Linked DNA regions of Pelodiscus sinensis. The protein of the gene in region 2 interacts with the protein of the main gene of each other region in a biochemical or structural test. Links are inferred from orthologs where the notes say so. Each region holds a gene or a part of one and is shown on either strand. Other genes may lie near its edges.

Region 1 (3,744 bases), on a different chromosome or scaffold from region 2:
AGCCCCTCCTGCTGCCCCCTGGGGACGGGGAGCGGGTTAGAGATACAGCCAGGGACACCCACCCCAGCCCCTCCTGCTGCCCCCTGGGGACTGGGAGCAGGTTAGAGATACAGCCAGGGACACCCACCCCAGCTCCTCCTCTGCCCCCTGGGGACGGGGAGTGGGTTAGAGATACAGCCAGGGACACCCACCCCAGCCCCTCCTGCTGCCCCCTGGGGACGGGGAGTGGGTTAGAGATACAGCCAGGGACACCCACCCCAGCCCCTCCTGCTGCCCCCTGGGGACGGGGAGTGGGTTAGAGATACAGCCAGGGACACCCACCCCAGCCCCTCCTGCTGCCCCCTGGGGACGGGGAGCGGGTTAGAGATACAGCCAGGGACACCCACCCCAGCCCCTCCTGCTGCCCCCTGGGGACTGGGAGCAGGTTAGAGATACAGCCAGGGACACCCACCCCAGCCCCTCCTGCTGCCCCCTGGGGACGGGGAGCGGGTTAGAGATACAGCCAGGGACACCCACCCCAGCCCCTCCTGCTGCCCCCTGGGGACGGGGAGCGGGTTAGAGATACAGCCAGGGACACCCACCCCAGCCCCTCCTGCTGCCCCCTGGGGACGGGGAGCAGGTTAGAGATACAGCCAGGGACACCCACCCCAGCCCCTCCTGCTGCCCCCTGGGGACTGGGAGCGGGTTAGAGATACAGCCAGGGACACCCACCCCAGCCCCTCCTGCTGCCCCCTGGGGACTGGGAGCAGGTTAGAGATACAGCCAGGGACACCCACCCCAGCCCCTCCTCTGCCCCCTGGGGACTGGGAGCGGGTTAGAGATACAGCCAGGGACACCCACCCCAGCCCCTCCTGCTGCCCCCTGGGGACTGGGAGCAGGTTAGAGATACAGCCAGGGACACCCACCCCAGCCCCTCCTGCTGCCCCCTGGGGACTGGGAGCGGGTTAGAGATACAGCCAGGGACACCCACCCCGGCCCCTCCTGCTGCCCCCTGGGGACGGGGAGCGGGTTAGAGATACAGCCAGGGACACCCACCCCAGCCCCTCCTGCTGCCCCCTGGGGACGGGGAGCAGGTTAGAGATACAGCCAGGGACACCCACCCCAGCCCCTCCTGCTGCCCCCTGGGGACTGGGAGCGGGTTAGAGATACAGCCAGGGACACCCACCCCGGCCCCTCCTGCTGCCCCCTGGGGACGGGGAGCGGGTTAGAGATACAGCCAGGGACACCCACCCCAGCCCCTCCTGCTGCCCCCTGGGGACGGGGAGCGGGTTAGAGATACAGCCAGGGACACCCACCCCGGCCCCTCCTGCTGCCCCCTGGGGACTGGGAGCGGGTTGGAGATACAGCCAGGGACACCCCTACCCCCACCCTGCCCTTCCGGCTAGGGATGGGCAAGGGAGGAGCTAGAAACACAGGAGAGATGCCCCCAACCCCCACCTCCCTTCCTGCTGTCCCTTGGAGTCGAGGGGGCAGTTAGAGGCATGGCCAGGGAAGCCCACAATCCTGACCTTGGAGACTGGGGGGGCAGAAACTCAGCCAGGGTCCCCTCTCCCCCATGATCCCATCTTCCCAGGGTCCAGGTTAGAGAGCCAGAATGCCCCACCCCCCACCAGCCCCAGGGCACATCTGCCACTGGCCTCTCTCCACTGCCCACACCACTCAGCCCCAACCCCTACATCTCCCCTCCGTCCGAAAGACACTGACCCCAACAGCCTCCCCATAGCACCACCACTTCTCCTGCTCCAGACAGTCCTCAGCAGGCAGTGACCACCCCAGGCGCCTCCTGCTCAACTAGTCCCCAGGGGGCCTCTGCAATGCCTATGGAGAAGCCTCAATCCTCACCCCAGGTACCCCCCCGCAGAGAGATGGGGTGTCCAGACGGGGGGCTCAGCCAAGCCCCTGAACCCCAACACGTACTGTCCATATCTAATGAGAGAGCCACTCACCAGCCTCCTGGCTCCTAATGTGACCCAAGAGCAGAGCCTGACCTCAGCCCTTCATTAGCTTCACCCCAGCTCCCCAGAGCCCCCTTTCCCCAAACAGTGGCTCCCTAGACCCCCAACGACTCTTCCAGCCCAATGCACCCAGGAATCCCAAACCGCCCTCCAATGGATGCCCCTTCTGCCCCCCGAGCTCCCTGGGAGCTGGGCACTTGGGCAGCCTCCCAGCTGCTTAGCAAAGCGCCCAAAGCTGGGTTTGTGTTTCTAAGGGTGGTGCCCATCCGCACAGGCCTCGGTGCGCAGAGCAGCATTTATTCCACACATGGATCACAAAATTATAGGGAACATTGACCGCCCTGTTCCGCCCCCCCCCCAGCTCAGCCCCCCCGGGAATCACCCCCCCCCCAAACCTTCCCCTCGGGGCCACTCGCCCCCCCCCCAGCCCTTCCGGCCTCCCGCCCCACAGCGCCCGGGGCCCTCGACTCCCAGCGCTGCACTCGTGGGACCCCCCGGCCCCCCCGCAGCCCGGCCCCCCCGCTGCCCCCCCCACTCACGGCCGAGTTTCAGGCCCGGCGGGAAGGCCCCGCCGCCCCCCCCCGGCCCGGGCCCCGCCGCCCCCGCCTTGCCGCCCGGCGCTGTCCCCGGGGGGGCCCCGGGCGGGGCGGGGGCTCCGGGGCCGGGGGGGGCCCCGCCCGAGGCGGTGTCGGCGAACGAGCTGGTCCGGGGCCGGGAGGGGCCGGCGCTGCCGCTGCTCATGGCGAGGCCGGACGGGGGGGGGGCGGGGGCTGCCGGCCTGCGCATGCGCCGCCTAGCCCCGCCCCCTGCCGGCCGCGCGAGCCGCCCGGAAACCGAGTCCGGGCCACGCCCCCTTCCACCGCGCGGGTCGCCGGGAAACGGAGTCCGGGCCCCGCCCCCTTCCAGCGCGCGGGCCGCCGGGAAATGTAGTTTCCTGAACCCCCGCCCTGAGGTCAAAAGCTCCAGGTTCCTGCCCCCTGTTGGAGCGCAGGGCCCCGCCCCCAGGGGGACGCTGCGGTTTCCAGCCCCCCCCACGTGGTGCCCCAGCGCTTCCACCCCTCCCCCCGCTCCCGGGCGGGGGCAGCAGGGCCCGGAGATCCCCCCCCCCGCACCCCCCAGGGCACGAGCCCAGCAGGCGGGGAAAAGACCAAAAGCTTCTGCCCCGCGGGGGGAGCGGGGGTCCGGGAGCGTCCTGGGCTCCAAGCCTGGCAACCCCCCCAGGGGCCATGGGGAGCCGCTCCCTGCCCTGGGGCACGGGGGGTTCTAGGTGTGACCTGCCCTGGGGCTCGGGGGGTTCTAGGTGTGACCTGCCCTGGGGCTCGGGGGGGTTCTAGGTGTGACCTGCCCTGGGGCACCGAGGGGGGGTTCTAGGTGTGACCTGCCCTGGGGCACCGAGGGGGGGTTCTAGGTGTGACCCTGCCCTGGGGCTCGGGGGGGGGGGTTCTAGGTGTGACCTGCCCTGGGGCACCGAGGGGGGTTCTAGGTGTGACCCTGCCCAGGGGGGTTCTAGGTGTGACCCTGCCCTGGGGCTCGGGGGGGTTTTAGGTGTGACCCTGCCCAGGGGGGTTCTAGGTGTGACTCTGCCCTGGGGCACCGAGGGGGGGTTCTAGGTGTGACCCTGCCCAGGGGGGTTCTAGGTGTGACTCTGCCCTGGGGCACCAAGGGGGGTTCTAGGTGTGCCCCTGCCCCGGGGGGGTTCTAGGTGTGACCCTGCCCGGGGCACGGGGGGGCTGCTACGTGTGACCCTGCCCGGGGCACTGGGGGGGTTTCTAGGTGTGCCCCTGCCCTG
Region 2 (3,744 bases):
TAGAATTCTGGGAGGCTGAGAGGTGTTAGAAGAGGAGGAGCTGGGGGGCGGATTTAAATTCATTTGTAACCTTGGGCAGAGGAGAATATCTGTCCCCTTACATTCTGGCCCGTGCTGCGCGAGCACATGGCTGCACAACCCACCATTATTTTGGACCGACGGAAGCAACTAACGTTTAATTTGCCGTGTGGCCAGCCTGTGAGCTTCACTGCCATTGTCCAGCGCTGTAACATGAGAGAGACTGGATGGTTTTGTGGCCTACAAAATCCTGCAGTTATGCCAGCAAAGAGAATGATAGCCAAGGCTGGCCTTTTGGGCATGCTCTGCTGGGAGAGAATCTACCCACGGGGTGCACAGAACATAACGGATTGCCCACCAGCATATTACTGAGGCAGGAGGGAGTTTTCAGCATGGGAGACAGGATAACATGATCAGCTACGGCAAATCCCATGTGTATGTTGGTACCCTGCCTCTTCCCAGCAAGGGCGCAGGCAGGCAGAGATGATGGATGATTCCATGTATATCACCAAAGCAAAGTGGTTCTGGTTTCAAGCCTATTGACAGGGACAAGATTCCTTTAAAGCCAAGAGAAGTTGCAGAATTGAATTTGCTCCTGCAAATGGCAGCGTGGAGTGGTTACAAGAAGTCTCTTAAGTTTTTTTTTTTTGTGTTGCAAGAATGACTTTCCGTTGACGTATCTATGCTAACTGTGCCACACTTGATATCCTACCCTTCCTCTTCGCCCCCACAGAGGAGCTGAGCTCCCCAAGGCCATGGGAGAGAGTGGAACTTGGAAGTCAGGAGCATGCGGCAAGGGAGATTCAGCCAGAAAAACAATCAGGTGAGGTTCTTCCGGAGACTCTTGTCCACTTGTATGAAATGGAGACTGGAGAACAGGCAGCAGAAATCCCTGCCAGTGCTGAGACCTCGATACCTGTGCCCCTGGGTATCTGTGAAGACTTCAGAGCCTCTGAAGAAAGCCAAGAGGCAATCTCCAGCACTTTGTTTACTGCGCCCTGGGACCGTGGTGGCAAAGAGGATGCTGGAGCGAGGAAAATGTTGGCCGATGACTTTGCCACATCTGCAGTTTCTGAATTCTCTCGGAGTGGTCCAAGTGATGAAATGTCCCATCGCGAGACACTTGCTACTCGGTTTGAAAAGTCGCCCCTGGGTGTTGATGATGTGGGGTATGATCCAAGGGACAGCTCCTGTATCAAAGGGGGGCCATCTCCTTTACATGCCAGCGGCAAATTGAAAGAAGAGGCCTCTGCGCAGGAAAAAGATGAGGACCGCGACATTGACGAAACTGTTCAGCAGGGTTCACCATCCTCATTATGCCGACAAGACTCGATGCTTGAAGCATTTCCCCATCCAGCCGCGGCCGAGGAAGCTGTAGAGGTGGATGCAGAAGGCAGGGAAGCTCATAAAGTGGCAGAGACTCTAGATGACACTCAACGGTGGCTGTCGGGGAAAGTGTATGATGCTGTCGTCCCGATGGAGCCCTCCGTAAGGATGTACCAAGTGGAAGTGGAAGCTAACGTAATAAGGGAGAGGGAAATCTCAGCTTCTCCACTAGAAGCAGCCACGTTTCCCGATAGGTTAAAAAAGGACGTGGCAGATGGAAGCGTTTCCGTGCAACAGGAGACGGGGGGAATGGTGCAGGCCATGGCAAAACAAGAGGCACTCAAAAAGAAACCTGCAACTCACATGTCAGAGAAACAAGTCAGTCGGGTTCCTCGTTTAAAAGGTGTGTGCATCTCGTTTTCCTGCTCCGCACTTGCTTCTCCAATGAGTTGCTTGGGGCAAGGCTGCTACAACCTCTACTGGCACCCCTTGCGTCCTGCTGCTTGAGAGTTGGCCGTAGGTGTTTGTGCCAAACGAATTCAGAGAGTGCTGCTGCTTTTCTCCCTCAGTTTATGCCTCGCCCTTGGTTTGGTTCATTGGCCTCACCCTCCGCTTCAGTTCTTGCTTGGATGCTGGCGTGCTCCCGGTTGTGCTTTTCTCCCTTTTCTTTTCAGTGTCTTTCGGTTGATCACAGCTGCTATGTAGGCTCTTTGATTTCACCCACCACTCTAAATAGATATAAAAGAAAAGTGTGAGAGGGACTTGTTCTGGGCATTAGCCTCCCTGGAGTAGCGTTGACACAGAGCAGGCTACATAGTTTCATAGCCGTTGCTAGTAAAGCGCATATGGCCAGGGGAGCCGACCCGTTCTGCGGGCCCCAGGCAAGATGGGGCGTCCAGCTCTATACACCCAAAAGGGGCGGGGCTTCAGACGGAAGGGGCGGAGCCAGAGGCAGCCAGCCCTCTGTCGCCCAGTACACGACACCTTCACCTCCTTCAGCTCTCAGAGCTGCCCAGTAGGGACGTTCGATCGCGTGTAGTCGAACAGTCGTGTTACCCCATCAAATTTTAGCAGTTACACGCCATAGTCAGCAGTCAGTGTGCACCCTTCCCCACTCCCGGGGAGCCTCCTGCCACCCTGCACTGCTGCCTCTAAATCTATTTGAAAACCCCCTTCCCATGCAGACCAGCTCCCCCTGCTGCTGCCTCCTGATTGAGGTGGCAGCAGCCCCTGTCTGTGGTTGGCCCGAGCTCCCCATGGACAGAGGCTGCTTTGCGGCAGCCTCCCCTGTTCCCTTCTCCTCTCCCCCTCCCCCCCACACACGCTGCTGTATCTAATAGAAGTAAAGTTAGGCCTGAGAACTGTGTTCCCTGTAAGTTGAGCACTTGGGTGGCCTCCCAGGAGAGATTCAGGTGCCGCCCTGCTGATTAGAGGCAGTTCTATCAGAGGCAGCAGGGTGGGGTGGGGGGGAAGGGACAGGCAGCACCGGCCTCCCCCCGCACTCTGCTGTCTCTGTAGAGGCACGCTGACATCCCAGGGCAATTGCCCCTGTGCCCCACTCGCCATTGGCGGGTTTCCGGCGAGCCAGCCCTTCGTGTCAGTGTTTCTAACAGTGCGAGAGGAGGACAGCAGGCAGGACTGTGTCCTCCCTTTGCAGGCCCAGCACTATGTGCAAGACCACCCCAGAGAGATGGCGGAGTTGTTGGGTGTATTAGAGAGGAGCGAGGTGACACTTGGCTGTGAGATGCCTAAGGGTGTCTGCCGAGAAACCTTGATGCATGTAACTGCTCCGTTAATAGCACTGCAATCAGGTCGCGCTACATTTAGGTGTTCAACTTTGTGCAACCAGGTTAGCTTAACCGGCAAGAGTAGGTGCCTAGATTCAGCCTGTTGGGGCACAAATGCCTTTGCTTGTGTGACAGGCCATTTTTCCTCTGCATTCGAGAGCTATTTCTCCTTTCATCCGAGGGAAACCTTGGGAGGTAGCCTGTTCACTAAAACATGGCTGCTCAGGAGGCTTGCAAGTTAGTGCACAGGCGTGAAAAACACAACGTGAGTTCTTTGGGGGCCAGACCAGGTGCAGCCATCCAGAGTTCGAACGTGTTTCTTCTGCTAGAGACGTGACAGTACAGTCGATTAACTGGTTAACCGATAAGCTAATGCTATAGGCTGCATGCATGTCCTTCCCCCCCCAACCTGCCAGTACATTTTTTAGCAGGCTGGCCAGCAGCCCAGCTCAGTCCTGGTTCGCGCTGGGTCCGGGGCCTACCTCCGCTGCCACTCTGCATTTATAGTGTATTGGGAGTCTGGTGGGCAGGCAGGCTGGTTCAGTTCCAGCTCGTGCCAGGTCTGGGAGTCCAGCCCCTCCTCTGGACAGGGGCTGCTGCCCCCCTGTGCTGC
Region 3 (3,744 bases), on a different chromosome or scaffold from region 2:
GATCTGGATAAGCCGCTATATTCTACACCCTCATGACATAAAATGCTAAGCACTGGGTACTTAGAGCCCACTCTATTAGACTCGTTTAACAGACACACACTAATTGACAATATTTTCCCCGTTTTTTTCCTTCTCTTTCCCTTCCCATCCCCTCTCTTTCTCTGCTGTTTATTTGTACCCTGGACCCCTTAACTCCAGTTATCGGAAGAAGTGGGCTGTGCCCATGAAAGCTCATGATACCATCTACATGTTTTGTTAGTCTACAAAGTGCTACCAGACCATTTTTTGGTTTTTTTCTGTAATAGACTAACTTGGCTACCCCCTGAAGCATCTATATTCGTGTTAGTCTCTGAGGTGCTACAGGACTATTCGTTGTTTTTTCAGTTACAGACTAACATGACTACCCTTCTGAAACTATATGCTTTGTAATGTTTCTTCAGAGTGGAGACTAATCTCTGTGGGTCACAGATTGAATTTTCAATCCAGTACAACATCCAAGCATTTAAATAAATACCTAGCAAAAGGAGCTGCAAATCATTTGTTTTATACCAAGCCCATTTTGAGCAATACCAGCACAAAACCATCTGATCTCCCCCACCCTTTATTTCTAACTCTGCTTTACAAATGTACATATAGTCATCCAACAACTGAATCTGGCCAAATGAGGCTATCTGGGGTATAAATCAGAGCAGAATTTGATCCCTGTGTGCTTTTCCATATATCATACTAGTCACCTCAAATAATGTTTAACATTATATATCATTCTATTTATTTCTTTGTTCTCCACTTTTGTGCTGGCCCTCTGATTAATCTGTTTGTCAAAAATCACATAACTCAGAGAAATGTGAGTACAGGTATTATTTAGACACAAATATGGAGCAAGTGAATTGCAGGCAAGACAATGGGTCACAAAGTATCCCTGATAGACACAAATATGGAGCAAGTGAATTGCAGGCAAGACAATGGGTCACAAAGTATCCCTGAAACAGGCATGACAAAATACAGTGAAGTTTTTCATAACATTAACAAGAACTTTGCTATTCATGAAAATGATCTCTGAGCTCTAACACACTTAGTTTTTTCTGCCTCATTCTAAAGAAACAGCCAGGTTTTATTTCTGATTCACAGAGACAATGACTCTGCAAGATCCTTGGCAGTGTTGCAATTTTAATTCAGCTAAATGTGCACATAACATGAAGGATTCTTTGACAGATGAATAGACTCTGTAAACAAACTCGTCATTGTCTCCCTGCACCTAGAAACAGTTTTAAATGAGCCTTGAGGTATTTTAGGTGAAGGTTTCAGGTGATGCAACAGTGTTATATCAACTAGTGAGAAGGCTACTGAAGGGGGAAAACAGTGGATCCGGTGATTTACTCACCTAAAGTTTTATTTAAAGAGAGCAATATTAAGTTGTTTGAAAGATAGCACCAGTCACCTTTACCTCCACCCCCTAAAATGAATGCACCAGATTTGCCCTCCCCTCAATTGCAGTGTGAATAAAAGAATCATCCTAGCAAACTTTAATTCATGCATGCTGCTCAGCAATCAGGAAGGTCTTAAATCCACAGGGGAAAAGAGGGGAAGCCTCTTTTCAGCAGAAGGAATGACCCAGGTTACCCTTAGCAACCCATGAGGAATTCCAGAGCTCAACATTACTGTGAGCGCTCAACCCCAGCTCTCCTCTCCCTTCGCCTAACCCTAGTGGGGGCGGGGAAGAGGAAGTCACACACAGAGCAACCCCCTGTGCATCGTACAGAGAGGAAGAGCAAGCCTATAGCATTATTGGGTCCATAGCAGATACTCATATAAAGACCCTATGGGCCAGAGGTGCTTAACTAGGGGCGCTGGAATTGCTGCCGCGCTTCCTGGCTTGAAGTGGTTTCCATCATACCCAAGGATTAGAGTTTGGATCAATGGCCCTCAGCAGCCCCGCTGCACAAACTGCTCCAGCCCCGCTTGACTACCCCGCATCGACCACACAGAGCAGCCCATTGACAGAGTCCTTCCCCCCCTCCCCGCATCCTGGGCGTTTCACAAACACGCCCACCCCGGGCTCGCCGATACCAACCCAGGCCTAGCGACCCGCCGTGCAAAGGGGCTCCCGCGAGTTGTTTGCGCCCAGCCACTAGGCGAGCAGGGCAATTCTCGCTGGCCGGGGCGGGAGCCCGGAGCTGTCTCCCCGGCAGGGGCCCGAGCTCTCCCGCGGCGCGCACTTACCACACGGAGCCGTAGGCTCCGGAGCCCACCGGGGTCAGGTTCTGGTAGCGCTGGGGAACCTCCCACACCGTCTTGTTCAATTCCTGCTTGTAGAAGCCGCCTCGCGCGGACATTGTGCGCAGCACCAGCCGCCGCCGCAGCAGCAGCAGCAGCAGCACCAGCTCAGCCGCCAGAGCGCTCCAGCTGGAAAGCGCCGGGCGGGCACCGCCGGCGGGGGGCAGGGAGGAGGGACCGGGGAGGGGCAGAGGGAGGGGTAAGCGGCAAGAGGAGGGGAGAAAGGAGGAGGGGCACGTAGAAAGGTAGCCAGAAATGCGAGCCCAGGGCCAATGTCGCTGCACACACAGAGTCACAGCAAGGGGCGGGGCGGGGCAGGCCCTGGTTCATGAACACAGCGGACAACAACAGACCAGAAGGCTGGGAGCGTGGGGGCGGAGGGGAACCCGGCAGAGCTCAGACTATCTGCCGGAGCCTGGAAGAATCAGGGCATCCCCTGCCCCGCCTCTTCCAATTCAGCAGAGAGCGCAGAGAGAAAAGGCGGGACCTACCTGGTCACCCAGTTTTGCCAAAGCAGCTGTTCGCGGGTTCTATTCTATTATTGAATGTAATGTAAATGTACTTGAAGCAAAATGCAGGACAATGTAGCACTTTAAAGACTAACAAGATGGTTTATTAGATGATGAGCTTTCGTGGGCCAGACCCACTTCATGTAAATGTACTGATACGGCAGGAAGCTCCCTACCTCACGGATCTGGCTACCAGGCTGTTTTACCTTCTTGCCAGCGTTAGTAATTTTTCTGGTGAATCTCATGATGAATAGGTAGTATTTTTCTTGAAGCCCCAGCCTCCCTTGATTATTTTGACTGTCAGCTAGCATTTACAGAAGAACTCAGGGTTAAAATGAAAAGCTTAACAAACACAACCCCTAAAGGCTCAAAAACCACAAAACAAATAAAAAGAACCCTGTTTATTTTTACCATCTTGTGTTTTTAAGCCAATCTCGTGATTTTTGAAGGCAAGTTAGCAATACAGAAATATTCACCCTATATTTACCCCCCCAGTTACTTCTCATTATTTCTTATAGCCCCTTGTGCTGCTTACCCAAATATATATTTAATCTTTCTTCATAAGTCCCCTTATGAATCTTCCATTTCCCAGATCGCTTTGTTGCTCTGCCCTGAATTCTGTTTCACCACACTGTCACCAACCCCACTGCACGGTGTCAGTGTGTGTAGTGGTGCATCAGTCACTGGGTGGGCATAGCTCTATCTGGAAAGCAAGTTTTGTAGGTACTCCAAGCCCTGTGGGCTTTGGATTCTGGCTTTTAGTTGATTTCCCCTTCCCCATCCAAAACCACCTCTATTTTGTTTCACTACCACTGTGAGAAATAGCACTGGGGACACTTGATTAACAGTTTCAACAAACAAACAGACAAAGATAAACACAGCAGTTATCAATCCAACCAACTGGGGCAAGGCAATCTAAACAAGGGATGTGAAGGTAACAAAGTCCAGGTGCCTCCTGGCA

The links.
Region 1: of the proteins of MAPT (region 2) and GSK3A, one has a biochemical effect on the other in vitro, tested with the Homo sapiens proteins (4 studies listed by BioGRID and IntAct). The link is inferred for Pelodiscus sinensis from reciprocal best matches to the Homo sapiens genes MAPT and GSK3A.
Region 3: of the proteins of MAPT (region 2) and mitogen-activated protein kinase 11, one has a biochemical effect on the other in vitro, tested with the Homo sapiens proteins (2 studies listed by BioGRID). The link is inferred for Pelodiscus sinensis from reciprocal best matches to the Homo sapiens genes MAPT and MAPK11.

What each region holds. Positions count from the first base shown.
Region 1 is NW_027465888.1:163,229-166,972, forward strand, and holds the start of GSK3A (glycogen synthase kinase-3 alpha), read right to left. Parts: upstream 2,712-3,744; 5' UTR 2,697-2,711; coding exon 2,495-2,696; intron 1-2,494. UniProt on the Homo sapiens protein: Constitutively active protein kinase that acts as a negative regulator in the hormonal control of glucose homeostasis, Wnt signaling and regulation of transcription factors and microtubules, by phosphorylating and inactivating glycogen synthase (GYS1 or GYS2), CTNNB1/beta-catenin, APC and AXIN1.
Region 2 is NC_134739.1:7,126,311-7,130,054, reverse strand, and holds the start of MAPT (microtubule-associated protein tau), read left to right. Parts: upstream 1-849; 5' UTR 850-879; coding exon 880-1,747; intron 1,748-3,744. UniProt on the Homo sapiens protein: Promotes microtubule assembly and stability, and might be involved in the establishment and maintenance of neuronal polarity.
Region 3 is NC_134711.1:37,481,129-37,484,872, forward strand, and holds the start of mitogen-activated protein kinase 11, read right to left. Parts: upstream 2,526-3,744; 5' UTR 2,334-2,525; coding exon 2,221-2,333; intron 1-2,220. UniProt on the Homo sapiens protein: Serine/threonine kinase which acts as an essential component of the MAP kinase signal transduction pathway.